4 linked regions of the Struthio camelus genome follow. The main gene of each other region encodes a partner of the protein of the gene in region 4 in a complex. Links are inferred from orthologs where the notes say so. Each region holds a gene or a part of one and is shown on either strand. Other genes may lie near its edges.

The links.
Region 1: RNF113A (region 4) and RBM22 share a complex: the UniProt entries of both Homo sapiens proteins name them as parts of the pre-catalytic and catalytic spliceosome complex. The link is inferred for Struthio camelus from reciprocal best matches to the Homo sapiens genes RNF113A and RBM22.
Region 2: RNF113A (region 4) and SNRPD3 share a complex: the UniProt entries of both Homo sapiens proteins name them as parts of the minor spliceosome. The link is inferred for Struthio camelus from reciprocal best matches to the Homo sapiens genes RNF113A and SNRPD3.
Region 3: RNF113A (region 4) and CWC15 share a complex: the UniProt entries of both Homo sapiens proteins name them as parts of the minor spliceosome. The link is inferred for Struthio camelus from reciprocal best matches to the Homo sapiens genes RNF113A and CWC15.

Annotation. Positions count from the first base shown.
Region 1 is NC_090954.1:13,415,715-13,423,016, reverse strand, and holds the start of RBM22 (pre-mRNA-splicing factor RBM22), read right to left. Parts: upstream 3,017-7,302; 5' UTR 2,899-3,016; coding exon 2,845-2,898; intron 2,369-2,844; coding exon 2,315-2,368; intron 1,455-2,314; coding exon 1,425-1,454; intron 359-1,424; coding exon 226-358; intron 1-225. Other genes in the region: DCTN4 (dynactin subunit 4), read right to left, coding at 5,614-5,827, 6,596-6,693, 7,092-7,199. UniProt on the Homo sapiens protein: Required for pre-mRNA splicing as component of the activated spliceosome. Involved in the first step of pre-mRNA splicing.
Region 2 is NC_090958.1:8,968,560-8,976,061, reverse strand, and holds the start of SNRPD3 (small nuclear ribonucleoprotein Sm D3), read right to left. Parts: upstream 3,021-7,502; 5' UTR 2,881-3,020; intron 2,366-2,880; 5' UTR 2,342-2,365; coding exon 2,216-2,341; intron 1,026-2,215; coding exon 833-1,025; intron 1-832. Other genes in the region: protein GUCD1, read left to right, coding at 3,388-3,424, 5,067-5,151, 6,585-6,750. UniProt on the Homo sapiens protein: Plays a role in pre-mRNA splicing as a core component of the spliceosomal U1, U2, U4 and U5 small nuclear ribonucleoproteins (snRNPs), the building blocks of the spliceosome.
Region 3 is NC_090942.1:211,881,780-211,889,172, forward strand, and holds the start of CWC15 (spliceosome-associated protein CWC15 homolog), read left to right. Parts: upstream 1-4,392; 5' UTR 4,393-4,401; coding exon 4,402-4,495; intron 4,496-7,120; coding exon 7,121-7,259; intron 7,260-7,393. UniProt on the Homo sapiens protein: Involved in pre-mRNA splicing as component of the spliceosome. Component of the PRP19-CDC5L complex that forms an integral part of the spliceosome and is required for activating pre-mRNA splicing.
Region 4 is NC_090966.1:4,277,776-4,284,672, reverse strand, and holds the start of RNF113A (E3 ubiquitin-protein ligase RNF113A), read right to left. Parts: upstream 3,017-6,897; 5' UTR 2,923-3,016; coding exon 2,823-2,922; intron 2,688-2,822; coding exon 2,611-2,687; intron 2,493-2,610; coding exon 2,388-2,492; intron 1,110-2,387; coding exon 1,002-1,109; intron 389-1,001; coding exon 279-388; intron 76-278; coding exon 1-75. UniProt on the Homo sapiens protein: Required for pre-mRNA splicing as component of the spliceosome. As a component of the minor spliceosome, involved in the splicing of U12-type introns in pre-mRNAs. E3 ubiquitin-protein ligase that catalyzes the transfer of ubiquitin onto target proteins.

The sequences.
Region 1 (7,302 bases), on a different chromosome or scaffold from region 4:
GCATTAGCCAGAGATGACTTATTTACTGCTCAGGTGTACTATACACCAAATGCATCCCTGAACCTCAGAATGGATTTGATCTCTGAGACTTGCTCTCCTCAAAGTCTGTCAAGAGACAGAGACAACCACGCAGTTACAAGCATATGTTTAAAGACATTTCACCAACTAGGACAGGCAAGCAGAACTGCTTCTTATTTCAGTTTTTTTTTTTTTTTTGGTACACACCATATTCCAGGTCAAGCAGACAAGTTTGACAGACATTCTTGAGCTTGCTGCACGTTTGACATACTTCTGTTTTCTTAAAACGCATACGAACACCAGGGCACCAGCGAAATACTGTGAAAGGCCTAGCACAGATCTGAAAGACAGAAAGCAGAGACTCGGATCATTGTTACAGCGCAATGAAATTACCATTCAAGTTCTTACAAGGAAAGGCCAAACACAACAAATCTCTTTCAACCATGAGTCTTTCTTCATCATCTTAATGAAAAGATCCAGATAAACCAACTTATGAGCTCATGAAATAATTGTTTGTCTTTGGTATCTTTTTTTGACAGGAGAAAGTTTTTGGAAGGATTTTTTTGGTTTGGTACAATATTTGAATACTGAAAGCAAACCTATACAAAGGAAAAGAAATTCTTCTTTATTCCGGGAGATGTCACCACAGAGCTGTAAGAGGCAAATTACCAACGGTTCCTAAATTGAACACCCACTGGCAAAGAGCAAGGCCAGTGAAAGATGAAAGAATTTTTGATCCAGAAAAAAAAAATACTGCCCTCTATGATATCTGTTGGAAAGATGCATCTGCTTTCAGTGTATGCACAATTTGAGGAAGATTTCAACACACGCCTTCTTCCTAACTCAGCTGACAATTGGTAAAAGAAAAAAAAAAGGAAAAAGAAAAAAAAAGTTCTCCAAGTCAAGACAAAGCATTCTATTTTACATTTCCAAAAGACAGCACTAAATGCTTTTTGCTCTCTGTTAGAAATAAATCGAGCTTACTTCTTAAATAGCTAACACAAATCACTACATGGGCAGGAATAACTTATTCACACCAAAAACTAAACCTCAGTTAGAGCAAATATGAACCTAAAACAGAAAACATGAGATCATTTGAAATGCTGTGAAATACCTTTGAATATAGCACAACCAATATGAGGAAAACATATTGAAAATATATCTTAAAAACACTGAGGGCAAATCCTAAAAACACAGACTTCAGGAGTTTTAGTCTTGTTAACTGATTTTGTCTAATAAAACATATGGTAGATTGATGCAAAAACTTATGCAGTTAAACAAACACATTAACTTGTTAACCCAGATAAACACTTTTCTGAAGCTCACAATTTTTTTAACATAAATATTTACTACTCATAGATGTGCAGCAGTTTAGAAGTCAGTTTTTCAAAAGACAACAAACATACCTTGCATTCTTTTCCATATTTCTCTTTGGTCTGAAATGTAATCAGAAACAGTAAAATAAAATGTAAGACGTTATTTTGTTCAACGTCAAACTCTCCCCCATATATAATATCATCAAAATTACAACCCAGTGTTTTTTCTCCTCTTATTCTGCATTTAGACTTGTTCACCGCCATGGTTTCAACTCAGTCAGGATAGTCCTTGGCAGATGAACAGAACAAGACAAAAAAACAAAAAATAAGCCATTTTTGAAGTATAATCTATACCGGGAGTCAATAATTTACAAAAAAATTCACAAAAGACTTCCAGTAATCTTGGTAGAAAGGAAACAGTTAAGGGAAGACACTTGATCTAAGTTTACATCATACACAACTAGACTAAGTCCACAGAAAGGTGATATAAAATGGATTGATTCATCTTCTACTGAAGAAGCCAAGGTAAAAGAACAAGGATTTGAATTACTGTCAAGCAACCCTCATAAGACAATTTTAAACTAGTTTTTACAGGTGGGTATCCTGCCCATTCTAGAAATTGTATGCATTTATTTAACGTTTCCGCATCTCACTCATCATCACAAAATTTAACAGCACCAAAGGTTTAATTTCTAGTATTGCCTGTGCTTTAGGCATTAAGACAACGTTGTCTTATTCTCTGCTCGTGTTATTGACTGGTTGACTCTTAAATCATGCACCCTAAGTCATGGCAGGGCATACAAAAATAGCAGGAATCAAGTTTTGTGGTGCCGAATTAACGAATTCAGAGTTCAAGTGCATCTCAACATCTCCTCTTTTATTATTCTAGTTTATTCTAGCCCTCAAAACCCAACAGCTCTACAGCCACCAACACAAAAAAAAAAAAAAGCGAAGGACCGCAGTGTCAAACAGGCACATACCATTCGAATATACGGGTTTTCTCCAAGACATGTTTGGCACAGGATAGGGAAGTCCTGAAACGATCAGGAAGGGGGTATACAAAAGATAAATAAATAAATCAAGAATTAGCCGCAGATTCTCTCTCTCATCACAACAGCGTTCAGGTCAGCTCCTGTACTCAGCGCAGCCAAGTCCAACCCGTCAGACCGAAGGACACGAGAGCGGCCCCACGGGAGCCCCGCAACGCGCGACAGCCGCGACCCGCCGGCTCTTCCTGCCCGAAGCGCCCGTTTCGGAGGGCTCAGCTCCCGGGGCCGGGCCCCAGCAGAGCCCCTCGGCGCCCGCCCCGAAAGGGCCGCGGCTGGAGCGAGCAGGGCCGCGGCCGCCGGGGAGGCCCGGCCGAGCCCGCCAGCGCCCGCAGACCTCCCCGGCTCCCGGCCGCGCCAGCGCCGCAGCGCCGAGCTGCCCGGCCGCGGGGGCCAGGGCCACCGCGGAGCCCCTCGCCCGGCGGCAGCGGCTCCCCGCGCCCCCCGGCCGCGCCCCCGCTCACCGCGTCCTCCCAGTTCTGCCGGTTGTAGGTGTTGGAGCCCAGCGACGTCGACATGGCGGACGCCCCCGTTCCGCAACCCGCCGCCGCCGGAAGCCCTCGCGCCGCTCCGCCTCCGTCCCGGCAGGCAGCGGGGCCGGAAGCGTTCGCCACCTGCACCAGCGACGCTCCTCTGAGGGCGGGGGAAGCAAAGAGTGAGGAAGGAGGTGAGGGCGGGAGGGCGCCAGAGTGTCGCACCGTAGGGACGCTCTAGGCACTGCAAACTATAGAGCCCAGCTCACAGCCGTGGGAGCGTGGCGGAGAAGGCAGAGGGGGTTGTGGGGCCGGCCGGACCCCTTGCGGAGGGCGGGGGAGGGTTGTGGGGCCGGCCGGACCCCTTGCGGAGGGCGGGGGAGGGTTGTGGGGCCGGCCGGACCCCTTGCGGAGGGCGGGGGAGGGGTTGTGGGGCCGGCCGGACCCCTTGCGGGGGGGTTTTTGGGGCCGGCCGGACCCCTTGCGGAGGGCGGGGGGGGGGGGGGGAAGCCGGGTCGGACACGCCAAGAGGAACCTTTTTTTCTGAGGGCAGAGTAAGCAGCACCAGGGCAAAAGCAGCAGAGAGGCAACTTTGCTTTATTGAAGTTCACTACATGAAATTAAGCAGTAAGGCAACGCAGGCGCCCGTCTGTAAGGGGCAGACACCGACAGAGGCAGAGCGCGGCCAGGCGCTTCCGCACAGACAGACGTAAAGACACAGCGAACGCTACTCCTAGCTCCTATAAGCGTCTAAAGGGAGAAGAAAATGCACCGGACTAGTTAGAGAGAAAAAAGTCAACACACCCTTTAGCTTTCAAACTAGCGACTGAGAGCCCACAAGTACATCTTATTTTCCTATAACATAAATAACAGCCAAAGAACCCACCAAATACAGCAAAATCCCAGTTTCAAATTCCTCTTTCACCAGAGGGACCACGAGCTGCAGGTCAACAGGCCTCGTCAGCCAACGCTCGTCCCAAAGCCTGCTCGTCCTCGTTAGTGTTGCAAGGGGTGCCAGCTATTTGGCTAAAGAAGAGAACTCATGGCCAAAGCTTAAGTGTTTTGTTATCTTGAAAGGTAAAACAGCAGCAGACACTAACACTATACATGAAGAATAAATACAAACTACACTTCTTAAACTCATGCTGTATGTCTGTGTAGGGCCTACGCAAACCTGTAAACATGAAGCCTCGCTGCTTTGAGACCCATTGCACAATGGGGATAAGGCGTGCTTCCCCTGCAGAGCTGTCAAGTCCAACCCTCTGGCCACCCACAGGCAGGTTTCTTCCTTTAAGCAAGACGCATTTTTAGGCGCACCAAGCCCTATTTGCTGCATCGTTACTTCCCTAGGAGAGGGGGGCAGCACGATCCCTCCCTCTCATACAGAGGCATTGCAACTTTAGACTGGCAGAACCGTGTCTTAAGTCTCAAGCAATAAAACCGTAACTGACTGGTATTTCAGCCTTTCCCAATATCACCATCATGTTAAAGACCACCAGAAGTGTTTAACAAAGGTTAACGCCTGAATTGGGAACGCAACTGAAGTCCCAGCAGGAAGAGGAATCTTGCCGGCCTGCACTATGCTATTGTAGCTACTGGTATCTGGTATCAGGGGTACACTGCTCTTGGTTACCGTTTTTAGCTTGGACTGCAGCCAAACTACACCCTGGTTACACCATGGATAAGTTATCTTTTTATAATGGTGTAGTATAGGCTAGTTAAAGTATAACAGTATTTCCTCCTTTGCATTTTTCCTCACCCTCCTATAGCAGGAAAAAGACTAAGTATGAACTTGAACACCCCGTGGAGTTTTATGTATACCGGTCCTAATCTTAACTCTCCAAATTTCATACTCTCTGGTTGCTATCCCCATTAACACAATTTTATTGATATGAAGACTGCCAGGCAACCTCTCAGAGACATCCTTGCCTCAGTAAAGAGCTGTATCAGAATCCGATTCCCAATTTGTAAAGCATCATGCTACCCAATCCATCTTGCAACACAGCAGGCTTACAGTCGGACTGGTTGCCAGTCAAATCCATGAACACTACAGTATACTATGTTTTGAGTTTAAAGGCAAACTGATCATTTCCTTTGTGAAGACAGATTTATCACCTTGGCCAAACAAGCTACGCACGCCAAAGTGTTTTTTCATAACAAGAGAAACAATTGTACCTCCGAGTCTCCCACATTTGAGGGATCCTATTAGGAAGAAGAAAACAAAAGAAAAAAAAAACAACATCCGGCTGCAAGAGAGACTTGACTATAATGAAGCAGACGTGGCCACCTCCTAAAATGTTTCCTCAGGAAGGGCATAGCTCTGTGTGGAAAAGAAGAATTCCATAGCTGAGCACGTAACATTAGCTTTGTGGGAGGACATGATGAAGACAGACCAATATAGGTTCTTTTCTGTTGATAAAGAAAAATTCAGCTAGGTGTAGTGCAGATCTGGAGAAAGCTACATACATCTTTCTCTGTGCTGAAAAATGTGCTGTAAGTTAAACTAGCACATGGTGGTGCGGGGAAACGGAGTGGTAGTTAGTGGGCACTACAATAAGAGGAGAGAAAAGAACAAATCATCCAAAAACACGGTACCCTTGCCCACACCCATGCAGCTTCCTCCTCGTGGCTTGGCTGGAGTCCCTGGCACACATCCACACATCATAGAGGATCTCTCACAGAACTTCTCATCAGGGTGCATTCTTCTACTGTGACAGTCTATCCTGTGGCCAGCCCTCGGGATGCAGGTGTTGGGAGCGTTTATGGGAGCACTGGACCAAGGCTGAGCTCCACGTGATGGGTGAGCCAGATGACCTCAGAGCTCTGATCGCTTTCCTCACTGGGCCGGATTGGAGCAGCAAGGTTTTTAAACTCATGCTTCATCTTAAAACTCACGGTCACGTCGCCCTCCTCTTTCTGTGGAGTGACCTTGATGAAAACTCCTACCTTATTGGCTTTTCTGAAGGCAATAATGCTGCAGGACAGAAAACAAGAGGATACTGCGTCAGCCAAGCTCTCAAACGTTTGTTTTGCAAAGATTTATTCCGATACCACGAGCGGGATGCTCAGTTTACAGCCTGGGGGCTGAATCTGCCCTACTAGAACAATTCCTCCAGCCTGTAGCTTACTCCCTGCTGCTCTCTTCCTAGAGGGCCCCAAGTCCCTCCTCCCACCTCACGATCGAAACGTGTGTACCTCCCTTTCTGCTGGCAACTGTTTGCACGCCTGTCACACAGAACATCTCTGCTTTGGTCACGGGAGTTAACGTATCCAGTTGTGCAATACAGAAGGGCCACGACACATGATTGAAGTAGCTCTGTAAGAGGCTACAGAACTTTTCCCATTTTGAAGACTGAAGGGACCTCTGCGTAGCACACAGTACTACTGCGTAGTTCACACCACTGCTATGACCCTTTTGCTTGCAAAGGGAAAGATTTCACAGAGCATTCTTGTGAAATGAGAGATTCTCTCTTCACAGAGAGAATCAGTATTGCCACCTATAACCCAGTTGCTACAACAGCACACCCTGCCTCCAGGTAAGGTAATATTTCTTGAATAGTCCAAACCACAAGCAGAAAAGATAAGATTTGCATTTCTAATCTCTGCCAAAAAAACCCAAAACAACAACAAAAAACACAGAACGAGACAGACATGCTTAAGATAGACAGAAAAGCAGTACGTTACTTGGCTGAAGTGCCAATTGTTTTAAGTACAGGATGGACACAGGGAAGACAGCACTTACTCAGGGTCATCCTGAAAGTCTTGAGGCTCTGCCAGCTCATCATATTCTGCTGCAGCATCTTTGCCAGCCAGAATAAGCTCCTTGGGAGGAACTGCCACCTGAAACAGCAGAGAGAGAGGAGGCCCATCACCCATACTGCAAGCAGGGGAGAGCCCTTCCCTTCTGAAGGCTGCTTAACTAAAGCTCAACAGAAAAGGGAATCATTCTCTGCTTTTCCACCACTCTTTCATTCTGGTTCCCACCCCTCCAGCAAAGTGGCCACTGTATATTTCTCCCTTGAGTTGCGGATCTCAATGAACAGGCACACATGCAAAATATTTTACTACCTAAGAATGACGTTTATGTTGGTGACAGTTATTTAAGCCTCCAAGGAGGCAAACGTAATGCAGTCAACAGGGACCGAAGCACATGTCAAAGGTGCAACCTAGGGATAGATAGGTGGAAGTGGAGAGCCTTGGAAAGGGCCTGGGTTAGTGCAACAGGGAGGGCACAATACCTTGGCAGTACTGTTGATATTGTCAGGGTCTCCCTCCTCGCACTCCAGCAGCGTGACATGTGTGATGTTCTCCACTGGATTGGTCAGAGTCAGAAGGACTTGGCTCTCCTGAGGAGATTCAGGAAACAGTTCAAGAAGCAGTTATTCTAAAAATCTGTTTTACTGTTACTTCCGCCTTCTGTAGGCGACTGATCAATGCCTTCAAAACTGG
Region 2 (7,502 bases), on a different chromosome or scaffold from region 4:
GCAAAGTTCAGAAGGTGATTTACCACAAAAAAAAAAAAAAAAGCGTTCTGTGAGAAGAACCAGGACGAATTGTTACACAGTCTTGCACTTGAAACACAGTATATACAGAGATGAGAATGAACTATTAATACATTCTGTGTTCATTCCAATCTGACGCACAAATCTCTACCACAGGAGATTTCTATCATGGTAGAGTTGCTGTGCCAGAGATTTCACTGATGTTTAAAACCTCACACTAAGATTTTGCAACAGAACTCAATATGTTCCAGCAGGTGTTACTCCCCCACGCACACTCACTACACTTGCTAAAGTTAACGAAGGACTTTGCAGCCCACGAGTATTACTCAAACTTGTTATAACTACACTGCTCACATAAGAGAAGTGCTAATGAGGGAGAACTGTAGAGTGGCTAGTAGTTACAACTTCCCAAGTATTATCTTAATATCTGAATCATTTTTTCCACAAAAGCTTAAGAAGAACACTTAGCTCCTTTTCCAAGTGGTCCAAACAGCCAGTGACCACATTCACTGAAAAACACCAAAATGAAGATGAATGTAAAGCCTCAGTATAACTCTACCAGGACTACTTGCTACGTGTAAATTATCTTCACATATCAGTATTGCTCATTTTGATAATTGGGAAATTTGAGTCTTGACACCCACTGAAGAAAAAATACATAGGAGGAAAAAAAACCCCAACAATATATGAACCACTAATCATTCTGCTTATGTTGTTTGTTTCCTCAATGATATAGGTGAACATTTTCCTGTTCCTCCATAGCAAAACGCTAAAGGCAAGGAAGGAGGGAGGTCCACAAACAAGGAGTACCCACCTTGAGCTTTGAGAATAGCTGCTTTTCCTCGCCCAGCACCAGAACCCTGGTTTTTATTCTTCATGCTCTTTAACATAGGAGCATTCTTCAACATATCTGGTAAAATGAGAAACCGTATCTTGCTACCTCTGATGTACACCTGTTCAAGCTGTGCCACTCGTCCATCTCTGTACGTCACTGTTATGTTGGACATCTGGAAGGTAAAAGATCAGTCAGTGCTTACAGAGGCCTCCAACACAATTCAGTATTCCCGTTTCTCTTGCTTTCACTATTCTGACTCAGACTCCTCCGAGTAAAAACTATCTGGGTCAAGTACTAGTCGTTTCAACAGAAAGCCTTTCTAGGTCCGTTTTGAGATTTTTAGAGCCAATGGAAGCTTTTCAGAAGTTGCAGCAAGTTGACAGGCTTGCATCAGCAGAATACCAACTACGCAGGCACAAAAAAAACCAAAAGCACATTAACCATGATTATTCTAATAAAAAAGACACTACTGTACATGCAATTTTTATCTCACTTGTGTTTGTATGCTTCTTTGTTACACAATCAGAGTAAGTTACATCTGATTTTCTTTGGCTAATCACAATATACAGTATGCAACTGATTTAGAGGAATACACATAAGCAAAATACAGCAACAGAGCAGAAAAATTGCATAGTTTACTTACAAAACAGTGCAAACAAACACAGAGCCAAGATTCAAGTACCAAAGCCAAGAACCTTCCAAGTACTGTCATCTTGACTGGCATTGTGACACAAGGTATCCAGGACCTTTCGCACATAATGCTAAGCCTATTAGTCAAGCAGGCCCAGCGTTTTTATCTTCACCCCAGTATGAGCCAGAACAAACTCTTAGAAAAACACAACTCAGTTCTGTTTTCTCACATTAAGTCACTTTTAAAAAAGCTTTACTTGTTCAAATAAAAATGCTTCCTTAATACTTAAGACAACATGATTTCTATCCAAAGTCAACCAAAATTAAGCCCGCTTGGGATGCCTGAAGTCATGTGCATTAAAAAAAACACAAAAAACCCCTTCAGTTTCCTCAAATAAGGGTTTGTTTAATCTTAAGCCCAGAGCAATAAAATGAAAGACTCCAGTAGAAACACTGTCCATAGAACAAAGTCTTAAAAAACCCTAATGCTATTGACAAGACTTCCCAGGCCTGCTTTAAACCCTAAAAGAACAAACTCTGCGCTCTTTAGAGCATTCAGCAATCCTGAGTCCACTTCACTACAACGTAGGCATGCAGCAGCAGGGTTTTTTTTTTTTTTAATCCTTAGACTAAAAATAATAGTCTTTAAATCAAAACACAAATAAGCTAGCTATCAACCTTTCCTGGCACAGACGAGACAGCCTCCCTTCCCTCCACCAGAGGCAGCTATACCTGACAGTTCATGTTGTCTTCAGCTTCGATAAGCTTGCCCCGATAGACTTCTCCTGTGTTGGTCTCACATGTGACGATGTGGCCTTCCGCCTCGTGCAGGACTTTGATGGGCACGCCGATCGACATGTCTGCAGAGCTGCGGCTCTACCCCTGGGACAAGGAAAAGCAAAGGAAACGGTCTTTGAAATTAGGTTCTCCCTACATTACCTATGATCTTTTCAAGCGTAAGAAACGGGGGGGGGGGGGGGGGAAGGGGGGTTCCCCCTTGCCCAGAAACACCACAAGTTTTGATGAAACGTTAACAAAGCTCCTCTAGAAAGAGGGCTATGGGAAAAAAAAAAATCACTTAAATATCAGTGGAAGTGGCTGCCTACGGGTTCCCTGCTAGGAAAGGGAAAGGAAACCCGCTCCCCAGCTGGAGGACACCGAACCGCCGGCGCAGGCAGGGGCGGCGGCGGCACCGGGGCCGCTCGCAAGCGCGGCCCGGCGGCAGCAGCGCGGCAGCCGGGCCGGGCCGGGCCCACGGGTCCCGCGCCAGGGCAGCGGGCACTACCACGAGGGGGGAAGGAGGCGGCCCGGGCCCGGACGGCGCCCCGGGCCCGCGGCCTCGTCGCCAGCCATAGCCAAGAGGCCCCGGGGCCGGCCCGGCGCCCACCACCACTCACCGCCCGCAACCGCCTCAAGCCGGGCCCGCGCGCAGCCCCTAATGGCCTCCTCCAGCTTCCCGCCGTGCCCCGCGCGCCGGAAGCGGAAAGCGGCGCTCGCCGGGAGGCTCCTCCCCGTCCCGTCCGGCCCGCCCCGCCCCGCCCCGCCCCGGCAGGGCAGGCGGCGCCTCCGGCGCGCGGGGCCGGCCGGGCCGCGGCGCCCCGGCACGACGGTTCCGCCGCCGCCCGCGCCCGCAGAGGGGCCGCCGCCGCCGCGGGCGCTGCCCGCCCGGCGAGCCGCGCCGAGCCGCGCCGCGCCATGCCCCCGCCGCCCGGCCGCAGCCGGCCCCGCCGCGGCGAGGGCGCGGCGCCCCGGGGCCCGGCCCCCCGCCCCCGCAGCCCCCGCCCCCGGCGCCGGGGCCGGGCGGAGCCAGCGCGGCGCCGAGGCACGGCGGGCCCCTGGGCCGGGCCGGCTCGGCGGGGCCGGCAGCGAGCGGGCGGGCGGCGGGTGCCGCCGCCGTCGCCGCCATGAAGAGCCCGCGGGAGGCCGGGGAGCCGCTGCCAGGTCAGTGCGCCCCTGCTGCCCCGAGGCCCGGCCGCCCCCCGCGCCCACCCCGGCCCCGGCGGGGCGCTGAGCGCGGGCGGCGGAGCGGGAGCGGGAGCGGGAGCCGGGGCCTCGCGCGCTGGCGGCGGCGCTGGCGGGGCGGCCGGAGGCGCGGAGCCGGCGGGGCGGCCGCGGGCGGGGGCGCGGGCGGCCGCCTCGGGGCAGCGGGGAGGCCCCGCCGGGAGAGGCCGCGGGGCCGGGAGCTGGACACCCGGGAGAACTGGAAAAGCACGAGCCGTTGTCGGTCTGTGAAGTCATCAGGCAGAAAACAGCGTTACTTCTTAAATTAACCTGGGGAGCTGGCAGAGGCCCTAGGTAGGAACGAAGAGGGAACTGACTCATGACACGCCGGGAAGAACCAACAATAAAGATTTAAAGAGGGTAGTCCGAGGAGGATCTGGGACTTTTTGTTTTCCCTTTAGGAGACTTACGTAAGAGCACCTTAATCTAGATTAACAAAGACAACTGAATATACCAGCAGGTATACCTGGTCTTCGAAGTCACGATTAAACACGGGCACAACTACGAAAAAATATTTTTGAAGAGTCCAAAATATCTATATTGGCTTGTGCCTACTGTAGGCTATAGCTTTGTTAGGAAATAATACAAAATTATTGTTACGAATGACATTACTTATAAAGTTTTACAAATAAAATTTTATCAAAACTAGACCAGTCCACATGATGTGGAATGCATTTTTATCTTCATGCCGAAGTGTAGTTGACCTTGTGTTAACAGCTTTCAAAGGTCTTTTCTAGTCAAAAGTGAAGGGATTGAGAAAAGCCCTTTAAGACTAGCTTACTCTGATTAAGGTTGAAATAACAGTAACACCTGCAAAAACACTAAGTCATTCAAATTCAAACGATAATGGGTCTTCTGAGACTGAAACCATCACACTTGCCCCAAGCCTATAAAAATGAAAAATGAGGAAGAAAGATGGAATTATGGACTTTCCAGTAGAGATTTTTCTTCTTTCTTTTTCTGAAACCTTGAGAGAATATAACACGAAAGGCCAACTAGTGTCATTTGTAAGGTTCGGTAACTTAAAATTACTCACATAAATTATAGTCCCTGAGGAAAAAAGACACATCTGTAGAAAAGGCTCAGCTCTGTGGGGCTTGTGAGAGAGAGGTGGCTGGAGGAGATCTTTGTTGTGTCTGTTTTATCACAGTCTGGCTGAACACCTTTTGTGGCACAGAAGTACATTCAGAGACTGTTTTGGACACATGACAAAGGATGAATAGCTGTGCCTTATCTACTGCTAGTTAGGAGGGGATACAGCTTTGTAACTAGGGGCTGGTGGATGTGTCACCACCACAAAAAAGAATAAAATACTGCACAGTGATCCAAATATGTAACAATAATATGACATTAAACCAGACACGTGAGGGTTAACTCTACAGAAATACCAAACAAACCTACATCCCCTTAGGAAAAAGGACCTGCCAATCAGGTAAAATAAAAAATGTTCCTAAGTTTCCCCCACTATAGTGCTGAGTGTACCTGCAAGACAGCAAATTGGCTTTGAATGCTGAGGTACGGAAAAACATGTATATGCGGGTTGACATCCTCCATGTTTTACTAAGTGTTGTTTTCACTGCAGTTGACTGCATCCAGTTGAAAGTGCCAGTCATCCAGCAGCTGTACCACTGGGACTGTGGGCTAGCCTGCTCCAGGATGGTACTACAGTAAGTAACTTTTTTGGCTTCAAGGGGTTGGAAATCCCATCCCATGGGAAGTCGGAAATCAATGTCCAGGGAGAAAGGATATGTGGAAGCAGCTGTGAATTTAACTTCAGTATCGTGAGAGCATATAGTCTCAAGTACCTTTGGAGGATTACTGCTGCCAGGGTCTAGCACAGCTCTCCAGCAAGAGCAAGGGAAAATACAAACTAGGACAAATTTTAAGACTTTTTAAATGATTAACTGCTTTGATTGATGCAAAATATCTGACTAGCACTAAGATCTTTGCAGGTTAGCATGCTTAAGCTAGTAAAAGTTATCCCTCTTTTCTGTTATAATTTGGAACTAGCTTTTACCACAGCAATTCTCTTACTTCCATTCTGCGTGTTTTCAAGTGGCTGGTAGGTTTATCCCGTATTTATGAATATATATTGCCCCTGTCCTGTTGAGCCCCCACTCTGTAGGGTGAAGGGTTTCTGTTCCAGGAGTAGTTTCAACTTCAAGGCTATGCACTGTATTGCCCTTTTTTTTTTTTTTTTCTTTAAACTAGTAGCTGTCCTGCTGAACTCCTCTTTCCTTCCACAGAGGAACATGAGCTTAGGTGCAGGAGAAATACCTATTTAGATGTCCACTTAGTAGATATGAAGCAGAAGATTTTCATTTCTCTCCATCCCTACTGCCAAGACGTTAGTCCGTGTGCTGGTAATTTCCCATCTTGACTACTGTAACCTCTGCCTCTTCATTCCCTTTACCCTCGTTGCCATTCCAGTCTGCCCAAAACTCAGCTTTCAAGATTAATCTTCTTACCCTGCTGATCTGACCTTGTTTGCCCTGCTTCCTCAGTTCCAGTCTTTTTCTTTTTTGCATTTATTTCCATCTGTTTTCTGACTTCCAGAATTCTCTGTAACTGCCTCTCCCTAGCCCTTTTGCAACCTGACCTAAGCTTCCTCCTAACCTTATCTGCCCTTTGCACCATCAGTGCCTAAGAAAATTCCTTTGACTATTTATCAACTGCCTTTACAGTTCCTACTTTTGAAATCCACCTGTTCTGTGAAGCAAGTTTTAGTCTTTAACGCTCCTGTGCTTGCTGTTATGTTGCTATGTATATTCAGACTGTAACCCCTTCAGAATAGAGTTCTGCCCTTGCTCACTATAGCTTACCTATTGTACAGCATCCTGTATACTTTTAGCACTATAAAACAATTGAGATACCTGTACATTTCCAATAAAAAAGTCAACAATAAAGCCAGTTAAATATTCCTTATTCCCTTCCCTTCCTTTAATTTTGGGCTCATTTGTGGGTTGCTTTTTGGTTATTTCTTAGCCAGTCCCGTTGTTTCAGTTCTTCCGTCCTGTGATGTGGAGTCTTGGGCTACTGCGCACACTTTGCTTCTCCTAAGATCTGTGTTTCCCTTCCCCTACCTTTTCTAATACCCTAGGTACCTGAATCATTTGGACAATGATGAATTTCAGAAAGCGATCCAGGAACTCCGGTTAACAAAGAGTATCTGGACCATTGACCTGGCTTACCTTATGCGACACTTTGGTGTTAAGCATAAATTTTGCACCCAGACACTTGGCGTGGACAAGGGCTACAAAAACCAGGTTAGCATTCCTATTCACTGGGAAACAGCACGCAGTGTTAAAAGTGAGCCCTGTGTATCATGCTATAAAAGCTTTGCTGTGTTACTGAGCATTAACCACAGTTGCTGTAAACCAGATTTGCCTATTGCCAAAACTGGCCATGAATCAGTTCTCAAGGCGAGGCTAGATATGATCCCAGATATTTTCCATCTTTGATTCCATAATATGAACTCTTAAAGAAGAGTTTTCATTTAGTGTTCAAGAAAGGTTCCAGCCTATTTGACAGCCTCGGAGACTGAAGCCCTCTATTTATCTACAGAACAGGTACAGACAGCCTGGGCAGCGGCAGTGCTAGCTTCCACACTTCCCCCACCACCGTGCCTCAACCTTGACCTGGAGGAACCACCTTTAGAGGTGAGAGGGGAACTCAGTCTCCATGTCCGTTCAGAGCTTGGCCTCTTCGAGATCGCTAACAAGGGGGCCCACGAGTGCCTATTCAGGCAATAGCTTTTCTGATGCAGGCTCCTGCCCACTACAAACCGGTCCGACTTCCTTCATGCAGGAAGCTGAATAGCCACTGGATGGAGACTATAAGAACTGACCAGGAGCGTATTTGAACTGATGATTTAGAGCAGGAAATCTTGTCCTATTACCAGTGAACTAAAGGAGAGACCTCTTAGCCCATAACTAGATCTCTTAACTCATGCAGGCCTTTGCTAGCAAGGATTAACTAGATTAACTCGGGTAAACTTCATCCTAGTTCATAGTTCTCT
Region 3 (7,393 bases), on a different chromosome or scaffold from region 4:
TAACAGGGTTTTCTAACAGGACCCCACAGGGATCCTGTGGTCTCCGCTGTCCCGTTTGTAGCAATGATCCTGAGGCCAATATGAAATCGCACTGAGAAAAACTACAGGTACCATAAAGAATTCCAGATGGCAACTAAGAGGCTGTGCAAGTGACACCAGCAAGGGATTTCTTTTCAAGCCAGATACATTTGAAACAACCAGGAATTCATCTAGGAACAAAGGTCACACAGAACTTTCTAATTCAGAAAACAACGACTTTGAGAAGGATTTAAGAATCACCATGGACATGCCTCTGACCTTGAGCACCCAGTGTAGTGGAGGGTGTGAGGAAAAGGCCAACGAGATCCTTACATATATAAACAACTGTGCAGAAAGCTGAGGGAGGAAAGTGATCTAATCTCTCTAGCCAACACTACTGGGACTGATGTTGAAATACTTCTTATATTTCTAATGTGGATAAATTGGAGAGAGTGCAGGAAAGAACCTTCAAATAATTGGTGAGAGGAAGGAAATGCTTCTAAGAGACTAGAAGAGTCCAGTCTGCTTACTCTATCCAACGACAGTTGCAAGACTACATTACAAAGTATAAATACCTAGTGAGAAAATGGCCTTTTTAAATCAGCAGAGAAAGGCATAGCAGGCACCAGTGGTTGGGAGTAAAGCCAGATAAAACGGAATTAAAAATAAGGTGCATTTTTGAGCCATGAGGATAATTAACTCCTGGAGGACATTCTCAAGGGAAGCGGTGCATTCTCCTGCTTTTCGTGTTTCCATGAAGTACAGAATACCTCTCTAAGACGTGCCACAGCCAAACTGCTCAAACTGAAGGTGCATCCATGGTGCCAGCTACAGGCTACTGTGTGCAAAGGGATCCAAGGCTCATCGTGCCACAGGAAGAAAGCACTCTTTGCCTAGACCTGTTCTGTTCTTACAGCTACCGTGGGAAGGGGGAAGACCTGAGTTTTTGTCCTTATCTGGTTGTTTATTTTATCTGATCATGCTTTAATGTAAAATCGTAGAAACAGGGCCTGGGATCCAGGAACTTGCATTCGCATATGAGAGTTGACTGGTGCTCCCTGTCACACACACACTCTCTCAATTAATCTTTAATTCCTTTCTGCTCAGTGGAGCAGCTTCAAAAAGCGGTAGAGTGTGCCTAAATACCAAAGCCATCTGAGGCTGGATGACTGCTGGGGCAACGGTTCTCCAAATGCGAGGTCAGCCGTACTGGGGACAGGGACAGACCCTGAAGGAAAAGGAGTTATGAGAGGAGAACGGCCCTGAGGCTGCCTCCCTTCCCTCCGTCCCTTCCTGTGTGCAGTGCCAAGCTGAGTGAGATAGGGGCTATGCCACCTTGGCTGTCCCAACGATTCGGGCAAAGCATACTGCTTCTTCATGTACAAGCCCAGACGTGGTAGGGAAATGCAAGAGGAGCTTTGCTTTTCAGCAAAGGTGCAATTATTTTGGGCATCTCCACATAGGCAGGGACCAGCCAGTGTGAGAATAAAGGGTAAGCCACAGCAGAAGTGTGAGCAGATCCTAACATGCACTCACATCTTGAGGGGCTGCAGAAAACTGGCCAGGCAATGAGGCAACTCTGACCAAGTCCTCTGAAATATGACTGCTGCTCGCACAGCCTTCCTCACTGAAGATACAACTCCAGGAGCAAAGGAGGTTTAGAACAAGAGGTCAGTGAGGGGTTTAACACTCTTAAGGTTGTACAGAAAAGCTGAATGATGGGAGCAGGACATTAACCAAAATCTTTGTGACTGGTGGCTGTGAGCCTCTTCTTTAAGGTAGCAGAAGGCTGGGGAGGGAAACGGACCTGGAACTCCCGCTCCACAGGTGAGCACTGTAACCACTAAACTATCACATAAAAGTAGTTGGCTCTCCTACCAACAGTACTATTAAAAAAAAAAAAAAAAAACACTGACCAAAGATATATTTTTTGTCATACTGAGAGGCTGATCATGGTATCCACGAGTGCTGGACATGGTCTGAGAATAGTTACTGGATGAAAGCTCTCTGAGCACTTGAGCTAGGGAATATCTTGTTTCTGGATCCTATCAAGTCTCACTGTGAGCAGGATGCTAAACTTCTTAGACCAAAGGAGTTTAACACTGGACAAAACTCTTTACGTCTGGAGATCTTTAAAATCAAAAGTTGTGGACCTGTGAAGGTTAGATGCTTCCACAGCCTTTGCAGCAAGATCAGGTAGGGATTTTCAGGAGTCTGGACTTAGGCACCTCCATTCCACCAATATCCTACTTTAGCACACAAGTCTTTAAAGGATCCAGCCCTTTGACTCTTAAACACTTTCCTGTCTGTTTGTACTTCACATCTATACACACCCAAGTTAGAGGAAAGGAAGCACCTTGGTGTCGCGGAGGACAACTCTAGTCAAAGACATTAAGTCATTCCTTTCCTTAAAAAATCATTTTATCTACTCGAAGCAGGGATTATCCCAGCATTTGAGCTATGAAACTATGAATAACTCTGAAAATAATATCCATCATCACAGGATAATGCACTAAGCTGACAATCGGAATTCTTGACTCACTACTTGGGAATCTGGACTCCTCTGAGAGGTTTGATCTTGACTCTAAACTGCCTGCAGTGAAATCAATAGTAAAACCATTTCACGGGGTGCAGACTGAGGCTTGCAGATAAGAAAATGCAACAGTGGATGCCTGGCTATTGACAAGCGCAGCTCTTAGGAAGTGACACAGTAATTACTGCTTCTATTTACGTGACTGCTGAGCACAGCCTAAAATTGATGACAAGCTGCCCAAAATATCCTGTGTAAAACCTCTAACGTTATCAGAAAGTATTAGTAAACCTTCTTCTGCTGCCCACCAGAAGGGTAGCTGCCAGCCTGTCCCTTCCTTGGGCCTGGAAAGGCATAGTTGGAGGTGGAAGGGAGCGACCCTGTGCAGGGGGACAAACTCTCGGGAAACTATCCACGGGCTGCCAACAGGAAAAGCAGATAAACACGCCTTTCTCAGTGTGCCTTGTCGTTCATCGGTCAGGGCAAGCAAAAGCAGCAAAGAGAACAAGCCCCCAGAGGCAGGCTGCTCATCCAGGAACCACTTGTCCCCGTCCCAAGCTGCTGCCATCAACCCCAGCGGAAACGGCACGCACCTCACGGAGACACGGCTGCTTTTCAAACTCCCCTGGCACAACCTGAGCAGGGGACAGGGGGTTTCTTTGCCCAAGGGGGCCAGGGTGCTGCCTGGGGCGGGTGCCCCAGTGGGCTGCTCTGCGAGCAGCCCGGCCTCGGGGACCTCTCGAGGGCCTGGCCTGGCCCAGCCCAGCCTGGCATGGCGGGAGAGTAGCTCCCCGGGCAAGCGAGCGTGTCGGTAGCCTGGTACTTCCCACGTCGCCAGGCGAGTCCCAGCAGCCTGACCACGGGATGCGTCTAAAAGCGGCAGTGACGGGAGGAGAGAAAGGGCTGCTGAGGAGACGGCGTCTCTCCACTCACACCCCCAAACTGCAGCCTTTTAACGAGACGGCGAGGCAAATCCTCCTGCAGAGCAGCTGGATCAAGGTGCTGGGCTGGCCCTGGCCCTAACCCTAACACCAACCTCAACTCCCTAACCTCAACCCCAACCCCCTAACCTTCTAACCCCAACCCTCCCAACCTCACCCCCCCATCCTGACTCCCCAGCCCCCCAACCCCCCACCCCAACCCTAACTCTCCAACCCCCTAACCCCCAACCTCACCCCCTAACCACAACCCCCTAACGTCAACCCCTAACCCTCTAACCCCAGCCCCCTAAGCCCCAACCTCAACCCTCTAACCCCAACCCCCCATCCTGACTCCCCAGCCCCCCAACCCCCCACCCCAACCCTAACTCTCCAACCCCCTAACCCCCAACCTCACCCCCTAACCACAACCCCCTAACCTCAACCCCTAACCCTCTAACCCCAGCCCCCTAAGCCCCAACCTCAACCCTCTAACCCCAACCCCCCCAACCCCAGTCCCCTAACCTCAACCCCCTAAGCCCAACCCTCCAACCCCCTAACCCTCTAACTCCAACCCCTTAAGGCCATCCCCCTAAGCCCCTAACCTCAACCCTCTAACCCCAACCCCCTAGTCCCCCAACCCCAGTCCCCTAACCTCAACCCCCTAACCCCAACTCCCTCATCTCAACCCCCAACCCCAATCCCCCTAACCCCAATCTGCCCCGGGGCGCTGAGCCGAGGCGGTAAGGTGGGGGCGACCACCATCGCTACACAGGCAACAGCGAGGCTACCACCACGGCGCCCACTTCCGCCTCGGTAGCCATCATGGCGGGCTCTTGGCTCGCCGCGGTCACGTGGCAGACGCTTTCCTTACGCCGACCCTCTCTATGGTAGGTTCTCTAGCAGCAGCTGCGGCGACTTCCGCTGGGTGTGTCTATGGTTTCCCGCGCGGTGCCTTGTGGGCACTCGGCGGGATTATGGTGGTGGTGTAGGGCTTGTTTGCGCAGGGCGGGTGGAGGCCGCGGTGTAAGTATGTGGGGGAGACGCGGTTCTCGCTGGGGAGGGGGGCGAGATGGCCTGCCAGGGGCCAGGAGTGCGCCTGGGGCGGTCCCTGGGGCGGTCCCTGGGGCAGCGGAGGGGGTAGGGGCCCAGTCCGGATCGGGCCGGGCCCGGTGCGCTAGAGGAGCGGCCGGGCTTCGGCTGGGCCAGGGAGCGCCGCGGCGTGAAGGGGCCTGAGGAAGGGGCGGCTGCGGGGGGGGGGGGGGGGGGGCAGGAGGGAGAGGGCCCGGAGAGAAGAGCGGGGGCGATTTGGGGGATGGCTGTGGTTGGGAAAGAGGGAGAGTGCCCGGGGAGAAGGGTGGAGGGTGATTTGGGGGCAGAGTGAAAGGGTGGCTGTTCAGTGGTCTCTGTGTTCAGCTCTGAGCAGCGTGCCTCGGTACTATTTGGCATAACCTTCCTTTGTGCAGCTCAAACACTGAGTTTAAAATAAAAAGCAGAAGCCTAGTTAGAGCGGTGTAAGAGGCAGGGAGCAAAGTGATGGTGCAGCATTGGTCGTACTGAAATTTTAGATTCTTACGTTGTGATTTCAGGTTTGGGGGCTGTTATGAGTTCCAGTGCTCGTGTTCAGGCTCTGTGGTGAATGTAGTGGGGATGGGTTCAGCAGGATTGTTAGCCGCAGGCATAGTGCTGTACGGGCACGTTCTGTACTGCTGGGGCAGTTCAGCTCCAGGCTTAGTTAGCCCAGCCACTTTCTCTTGGCTTAGCAGTGAGCTGGTAAACCATGCTTGGCCAGTCCTGGCCTCATGTAGTGCTAAAATGGATTTTTCAGTAGGCTGTATTTCTGAAACTTAAGAGTTTCTGAAACTTAAGAGTGCAGTGCAAAGGTCCCTGAGTTCAGGTCTGTTAAGGCCAAGCCAAACTCAGTCTGACCTCAGAAAGAGTCAATGGGGAGCAGGGACAGGTTCCAGAATATTTTTTAGTGTTTCATGAAAGTATACAGCCAGACTAGATCTGGTTCTGCCTCTGAACTAATAAATCCCTGCTGTTACTGATAATTGGTTCAGATAAGACTTGAGAGCAAATGGCTTTCTCAGATTATGGGTCTGGTAGAGTCTGCACTGAGCCAGACCTAAAAGAGCCTGCTGGGCTCCAGGTGACTTGCCCATTGTCACTGATGTGTGTCTGCAGTGGTTGGTCAATGAGCCAAGGCTAGTTACCATGTCAGTATTACCTTCTCACTGCTTTTTAAAGATATTTGTGTCTGTTAACTTTGTCCTGAATAGTAGTTCAGTGGCAGTAATAATGTTCTCTGTGGTGGTATGTTCCTATTCATGTTAAAATTAGAAAACATTTTTGTCACTGAAGTGATGCATTTTCTGGCCCTTTAAAAGTGAAAAATGAACAAAAATGCAGGTACAGCATAAACAAATTACCCTTGTTTGTGATAGCAAAAAAGCGTATCTTATTTTTTCTTCTATTTAATATTGTTTAAAATAATTTCTTGTTGTCCTTTACTATCCAACCTTCCACTTGGTAGGCTGGTGCCTTTATGTATTTCTGCGCATGTCTCTCTCTTGTGTCTTAGGTATCTTTAGTCTGTGGTTAATGGATGTGCATGTCTTTGTGAATCAGAAGTGAGGATAGTTGCAGATAACATATTTGAGATGATGCTGTTTGATCATCCAGGGTTTTTTTGCATTGGTTATCCATCTTAAAATTTTGGTGTAGTGGGGTGGGATTGCAGTGTCCAGCTCCTGTCTGGCAGTTTTGAACGCAGTGCATGCTGACAGGGTCTTTGTGTGGTAGAGGCTGATTTGAGTCTCTTTCACTCCTTTGCCACAGGAGAATTTACAGTAGCGATTCTTGGCCTCAGTTTTTTCATTTTTAGGGACGTGCTGGTGATATGTGGGTTTCTAAATGAGAGCTGCTGAAAACTTCCTTCTTTGCCTGAGCTAGAATACTTTTTTTTTTTTTTTTTTTTTTTTGTAATGTAACAGTAAAGTTGTCAGGCTTCTGCTACCGGAGGAACATTAACCCTGTCACACTTAAAACAAAAACTTTTTTTTCCTGGTCACCTGGAGCTCTGCATAAGTCAGTTCCAAAAAACTGTGCTGCGTTGTTGATGTCAGTGCTGTGCCTGCCCTAAATAGGGCCAGGAGAAGGGCTAGTGCATTCAGGATATGTGACCATCCTAATTTAATTGTCAACACCATTCTGGACATACTGTGGTCCATGTCAACCAGTACTTGCAGTGATGATAGCTGGATACAGTTTGGGTGATAACGGAGGGACTATTTCCAGTAGGCAGTATGAATGAGGCTGTCATTTCTGGGGAGAAGAAAGAGTTAAGTTACGTAGCTGCAGCCTGTGCTGTACCATTTGCCTGGAGGATGGGAGAGAATAACTCATGACCTGTTTTATTTACTTCTAAAACAAAGCCTCAGATTCTCCCTGTGCTTCAACTTTCAGACATGTTGGAAAAGTTTTTCAGTTTTGAAAAACTGAATAGGTTCTGTCAATCGTGTGCCAAATGATAGCTTGTTTTGGGTAGTGGGACTTGTCATTGCTGCTACAGTTCCAGGAACAATGTAGTTTCTAATGAATGGCTTTCATTATAAGCTGTAGTAATGACCCTTTTTTGCGTTTGATTCTATAGTAATTAAAATGACCACAGCAGCAAGGCCAACGTTTGAACCTGCAAGAGGAGGACGAGGAAAAGGAGAAGGAGACTTAAGTCAGCTATCCAAACAATATTCCAGCAGAGATCTTCCTTCTCATACTAAAATCAAATATAGGTAAGTTTTGCTTTTCGTTCTGTGCTCTTGGAAAACAGGCTGGGGAAGGTTTTCTTTTGCAAAAGCTGCTCTGAGGTTTTTCACAATAGATATTCATGTGCTTGACACTGAGCAGACACCAGATAGCGTGCAGC
Region 4 (6,897 bases):
TCTTTGCAGATGTCAGGCTGGTAGTCCCATCGCACTGTGGCCCGCAAGTGCTCTGGCGCACGGATGGGTCCTTTTCTGAAAGGGTGGGAGAAGGCTCAGGCCAGGTGCGCAGCTGCAGTGGAGAAGGCCCCTGGGGGCCTGGTCAGAACCAGACACCGGACTCGTTAGATAGAACCAAGCGGTAATAACAGCAGAGTTCAAGCCCCAAAAGGTGCCTTTCGGGATGGTGCCTGAGCTCCTCTGTGGGTCCCACTTCTCTGAGGCTCATCCCAACCTACCTGACCATTCCCGAAGAGGCATTTCCCATTGATGTGTCCTTGGGCTTCACGTACTTCTGATAGTTGTTAATACCACGGTAGATTTTATCGTCCTCCTTCCCTCTCAGCTCCTAGGAAGGGGAAAGAAAGGTGATTAAGGGTCAAGTGACTCAGAAGAAGAGAGCTTCATGTCACAGATGAGCTTTCACCTCTCTGTCCCCAGTCTCCTTTCCCAGCCCTGCCTTCCTTAGCATCAAGAGGCCAGTAAAGTCAGAAAGCTCCCCTATTTAAAAGGGAAACACTCTTCACCTCTCAAATGTCCAGGCGAGGAAGATTTCCTCATGCTCATGTTTCAAGAATTCTTGCTGCTCCTGAGACTGGAGATGGCAGAGGCCTGGCTCCCTACTGCAGCTGTCCGTGCTTTTTCACTCCAGCCACAATGCACACATCTCTTGTTCCAGGCACTTCTGTCCTGGTTTGCCTCCTGGTGCAAACCTCCCTTAGACACTGATCCTCTGAAACAAGCCGGACTCTAAGTGCCAAACCGACCGGACTTGCAGATCTATTAAACTTGAGCGGCTCCATCTCACCACCTGCTTCTTCCAAAGACACCTCACATGCCCTGGAGCTGCACAGCAGTTCCACAAGACTCAAACACTTTTTGACATGCGGGAGAAGGGGATGAATAAAGCACGCACACACCTGCCGCAGAGCACTGGCTGTTACAGAGCAATGCTAACTGACCTCCTGGATTTTCTGGCTGCGCTCGAAGATGGCCTGGGCATCTTTCTCCTTCTCTGTGTCCAGTTCATACACTGCGGTGGCCCCCATGTCTTCTGGGCCAACAGGTTTCTGAAAAGCAAGAAGTACACGTGACAACAGTGAACAGAAAACTTGTAAAAGGACAAAGAGCTCCTTAGAGGGTCAGTCTCAGAGCAAGAAGTAACCAAGCCCTGGACATGGCCCACTTTACCTTCCACCAGTTTCCACCTTCCCTTAGCACCTGCCTGAGAAACTCTCCCATGGGCCAGATCACTCATATCCAGCCTCGTTTTTGCAGAGGCCAGAATGCTAATTACTGATGGCTCCTAAGCAGGGGAAACACCTGTCCTCATTTTGCTCCTTCAAGCTTAGCTTTGGCTTAGTTGGAAACTGAACTCGGATGTGCCATGTCTAACGCTCTAATCGAGAGACCATCCAGCCCACACACAGGATGTCATGGCTGGATTCTTAACCTAGCTGTGGGTGGCTTACAGTCAGTTTTAGTTAATGCAATGATCTAGTTTAAACTCCTCTGGAATGCACTAAATAGACACCTATTCCTGGTTTTGTCAGATCTTCAGGAACAGCTGCACAGGAACTGAAGAACAATTTCAACCAGTCCCAGTTAAAACTGAATCCAATTTATGTGCCAAAAGCTCCTGGAGCGCCAAAGCTGTCATTTCCTCCTGCACCATTCCTGTTCTCCTACAGCAAGCAGCGCTGACAACATGCTGCCCCCTTTGGCAGCAAAACCGACTTGCTTATGGAAGAAGGAGAAGGAACGTAAACATCTCCAGTGAACTCCTTGGGATTTCTAGAGTTTTTCTCTATTTCCACCGTACTGTTCTCGTGCAACTAGGGCACCGGATTACCAGGACCCCCACCTGTCACTCCCAAGAAAACAATACCTCTCTCTATAACTCTGTTACCCCATCACTAGTTATGTGCACAAAGGTAAGAGTCCTTTATAAATCACCCGGAAAATTCTTTTGAGAAGGATAGCGGTTCAAAACCTTAAAACGTGGACCCAAGACTGGGGCAAACCTCGTTCAAGCGCCTCTTTTAGTGAAAACTGTGTGTGATGCTGGACACGTCCAGTGACGTCTTGGAGTTTTAGTTCCCGCATTTAAGGGGTAAAGACCAACCTCAGATGGCCTCCTGAGGATGCAGAGAGTATCAGGAGAATAAACCTGGCATGAGGCGCTTGAGCATTACGAGTGAAGCGGCAGGGAAGTGCCTCTACAGGAAAAAAACAAACAAACAAACAACCCAGGACCGAGTTGACTCGGGGAGGAAGACGCTCTCTAGCCTGGTCTAGCCTGGTGCGTGGTGTGGCACCCCTGGATCACAGCCCTGCCCAGTCCTTACCGCCGACCTCGTCGATTTGTAAGTGACGCCGATCTCCTTTGCCTGATCCTCCTCGTCACTGCTGCTCAGCGCGTACGTGGGCTTTTCCTTGACGCCTCTCCTGGTCTGAGGGGCGGAAAGAGGAGGGGGGGGAGTGAAGGACGGCAGGGCCCAGCGCTCAGCGTGGGGCTCGGCGGGCAGGGCGGCGCCCGGGCAGGGGGGGCAGCGGCCGCGGCTCCCTTACCTTCTGGATCATGGGGTTGGGGGTGTCCCGCCGCCGCTCCTTCCGCACCACCGTGCTGCCTTCGTCGCCGCTGCTCTCTGCGGGGCAAAGCCCAGGGCTGAGGGGGCGGCGGGAGCCTCGCCGCCGCGCTGACACGGCGCGGGGACCCCCCCCCCCTCCCCGCCGCGCCGTAACGCAATGGCCCCCGGGGCCCCTCAGCGCCGCAGCCTCACCCCGCTCCTGGTCGCTGCTCGGCCGCTTGCGCCGCCCGCGGGCCGCCGCCGGGCCCCGCTTCTTGAACACGAAGCTGCACACGGAGCCCTCGTCCGCCATTTTGCGCCGCCGCCGCTCGCCAACGCCGCGCAGCGCGCAGCGCCCCCTGCGGGCGGGGAGGACGCGGCGCCCTCGACCCCTCCCTCCCCCCCCGCGTGACGTAGAGCAGGGGCGGGGCCCCCTTGGAGGGCGGGAGGGGGGGGGCGCCCCTCGCAGGCGGGGCGGGAGCGGCGGCGGCGGCGCTCGGGGCGGGGCTAAAGCCGGGCCCAGCCTGGGCTCTGCGGCGAGCGGGGCCGGGCGCGTCGCCATAGCAACGCGCGATGGCGCTGAGCTGGGCCCCGGCGCCCTGGACGATGGAGGCCCGGCTGCCGCCGCCGGGGGCGGAGGGCGCCGGCTGCCGCCGCCGGGGCCGTGGGCAGCCAGCGCGTCCGCGTGGGCCCGTGCGTGCGTGTGTGTGTGCATGCACCTGTATGTGCACGTGCGTGTGCCTATGCATGTGCACATGTGTGTGCATGCATGTGCATGTGCTTATGTGTGCATGTGCCCATGCATGTGTGTGCACACATGCATGCACGTGCATACGCATGTGCCTTTGCGTGCATGTGTGTACACATGCATGTGCACGCATATGCATGTGTATGTGCCCATGCATGTGTGTGCACATGCATATGTATGTGCCTATGCGTGCGTGTGTGCACATGGATATGCATGCATGTGTCTATGCATGTGTGTGTGCACGTGCAAGTGCATGCATTTGCATGTGTATGTGCCTATGCATGTGCATGTGTGTGCACATGCATGTGTGTGCATTTGCATGTGTATGTGCTTATGCATGCATGTGCCTATGCATGTGTGTGTGTGCATGCAGGCAGGGGAGGAGGCACAAAGTTTGCAGGCAGGAACTAGTGGAGAGCGTTTAACTGGAGCCTATTTCTGGGGGCTCCTCGTGGGGCGACGGGGGAGTGGGAGGGAGAAGCTCACCCCAGCCCTGCACCCATCCTCACGCCCCGGGCGGAGGGCTGCACCCTTCCTCGCTCACGGCAGCTTTCTGGTGCAGCGTGGCCAAGCCTTGGCCGCTCTTCTCTTCCCTTGTGCAGCCCTGCCAGGCTCACGCTGCGTGATACGTGTGATCACCCGTGTCGCTGGGTCGGGCTCTGCTTGGCAACAGCTAATTTTACTAGCGAGTCAAATTCCTCCTTTATTTGCTCGCGGTGGCAGCAGGCCGTTTCACGGCAGATGCGATTTGGGCAACGCAAGCAGCGGCGGTGAGAAACGGCATCCCCGCTGCCTCCTTGGCCAACAAGGTTGGCTTTTTTCGGTGCCGGCTGGGGGGGGGGGGGGGGGGGAAATTCCTGCCCTCCGGACTTCAGCCTCTGCATCCCGCGCCGGGATGCGGCTCCCCGTCCCTCGCCCCGCCGAGACCTGCCGCCTGCTCTGCGGACCGCCTCGCCCCGCCGGAGGGGCAAACCCCCGTTTCGGAGACCCTCACGGCTCAGTTTTTGGTCTTCCCCCCCCCCCAAATAAAAAGGTGCTGGGGTCTCCCTTCTGCAGCCGAGGGGCTGCGGGGCAGCGCCGAGAGGCCGCCGGGGGCTCGGGGAGGGCGGCGGCGGCAGAGGGGCTCGGCGGGGGCTCGGCCTCGAGGTTGGGGCCTCGCACAAAGGCGGGACGCGGCTCGGAGCCGGTACGAAGCCGCGAGCCAATCACGGCGGCGGCGGCGGCGGCCCCCCCCCGTCGATAAAAGGGTTGACGAGGAGGGTACCGGGGCTGCCAGGAAACGGCTCCGGCTCCGGCTCCGGCTCCGGCTCCGGCTCCGGCTCCGGCTCCGGCTCCGGCTCCGGCTCGCCGAGCCCCGGAGGAAGGCGGTGAAGCCCCCCCCCCCCCCCCCCCCCCGGACGGACCGGACCCGCCGGGGGAGAAGCCCTCCCGCGCGGTGAGCTTTGGCTGGCCGACAACGACGGGGCCGGGAGGCCGCGTTGGCCGGCCGGGATCCGCGGCCAGCTCCGCTCCCAGGTGAGAAGGCAGCGAAAACACCCGGGGGGGGGGGCAGCGAAAACACCCGGGGGGGGGAGAGGGATGCAGGAGTGGGGAGGAGGGAGGAATGCCGCGGGGAGCCGCCAGGTGGGAATTTCGGGGGTGTGTGTGTCCCCCCCCCCCCCAACCACCCCCGGGAGCAGGTCGGAGCCTGGCGGCTGCAAAGTCTGGTTTTTGAGGGGGGGGGGAGACGCCGGCCGGGCTGCGGGAGCCCCTTGGGGAGCGGCGGCTGCGAGCGGAGACCCGCGCGGGCGTTTTCGGGGGTGGCGAGTCGCCTCTTTGTCGTGTGCATGCCGGAGAGGGGCTGGCCAGATCCATTTTTATGAAGCTGACGGGGGAAAAAAAAAAAGAAGAAAGGAAGGGGGAGGAAAAAAAAAAAAAAAGCCGAGAGGGAAGAAAACCTGTTAGATCCCAGCTCGCTCGGCCGTTCTCGGTGGTGCGTCTCCCCCCGCCTCGTCCAGCCCGGCTTGCAGCCTTGGCAGCGACGGGTCTTTCATCGCTTCCCTGGGGAGGCTGTTGCACGACTGTGAGATCTGATAACAACACAAATACCCGCAGCTCTGACACAGCCCTTAACTACAGCCAGGGATCTCCCAGGGCTTCACAAAGGAGACCAGCTCTGCTTTCGTCGTGGGGGGGGGGAAGGGAGCACACAAAAACGAAGCGATTCGTCCCCTGCCGTGCAAAAATCAGGAGCAGAGCCGAGAATGAACCCTGGGGCTCCTGCTTCCTGGTCCTGTGCTGCACCCGCTAGGTTTCGAGCCGGTCTGATCTGTCTAATCCCGCTGGATCATTGGAGACCAGCTAAGCTACCTCGTAGGTCACGTTTTTTTTTTTTTTTTTCTGATCGATTCGCCGTGGATTTCTGCTGGGTGGGCTTCAGCTTTGGAAGAACAAGCTAATGCAGCGGCCTCGATCACGCCTTGGAGACTGGGCTTTGTCCATCGAGGACGTCGTGCTAGGGCGCTCTCGGGGAAGACATCTGGCGCCCCAGCTGAGCTGTCATGTATTTAAGGCAAGAAGTAGCCCATGTGTGCCATGTTATTAATGTAGATTACCAAATAATTCCGGTATTAACAGCCTATTTAAACGGGGGAGCCCTGCAAGAAGCAAACAGCCAGTTAAGATGTCAGAACCAGCCTCTTAGGCCAGCTCAGCACTAGGGGTGCAAAGTGACTGGATGCATCTTTTTCTCTAGCTTAAAGCTAGCTTCCTGGCCTTTTTTGGTCAACAAAAATCCCACAAGACTTCTCATTAGGGAAGGGAGTTCCTCTTCTGGTTTCCTTCAGCGAGTTGGTGCTGTGAGCCTACAAATACCCCCTCCGGCCCCAGCTGGAGGTGGGATTTTTCTTTTCCTTGTCGCCCTTCCCCAGCTTTTGCAGTGCTGTTGTCCATTGTTCGGCAGCTGCCATGTTCCCCTGGAGGTGTCTGCTTTTCACTTCCTTGTAAGTCATTTTTTATCTGCCATCTGGGGGTGTTGCAGAGCTTACCTAACTGTTAGTAAAGCTCTGGGATGGAAAACATTAAATCTGAGCGATGGGATTATTACAATCATATTAAATGCACTTTAGATACATTTTGCACTCTTCTGGGGTGCCCATAACCCCTTCCACATGGCCAGCTCATGGCTTTTCAGATGCAAGGAGCCTCGACAACCTCTGAGATGGCCCGGCAGAGCAGCACAGAGCCTCTCCAAGGCTTGTTTTTCCTCTTTGCTCCACCGAAACCCCAGGCGCTTGCACAGCAGCAGATCCTGTACTGGGTTGTATGACATCTTGAACCCTAATTGGGAAGATGGAGGGGGAGGCTGTGGCCAGCAGGGCTTTTCCAGGATTTTTGCTCAAGGTATAGGCTAGCCCTCATAGGACATTGCAATTCCACATCTGGTATTTTACAGGTGATAGCCCATGGGAGGAGATTAGCCAACTTCACACTTACAGGTTGTGTTTGGGGAAAGGGGAAAATTATGCATGGTTACAGGCCTGTTAGTTGGAGTACAATAAA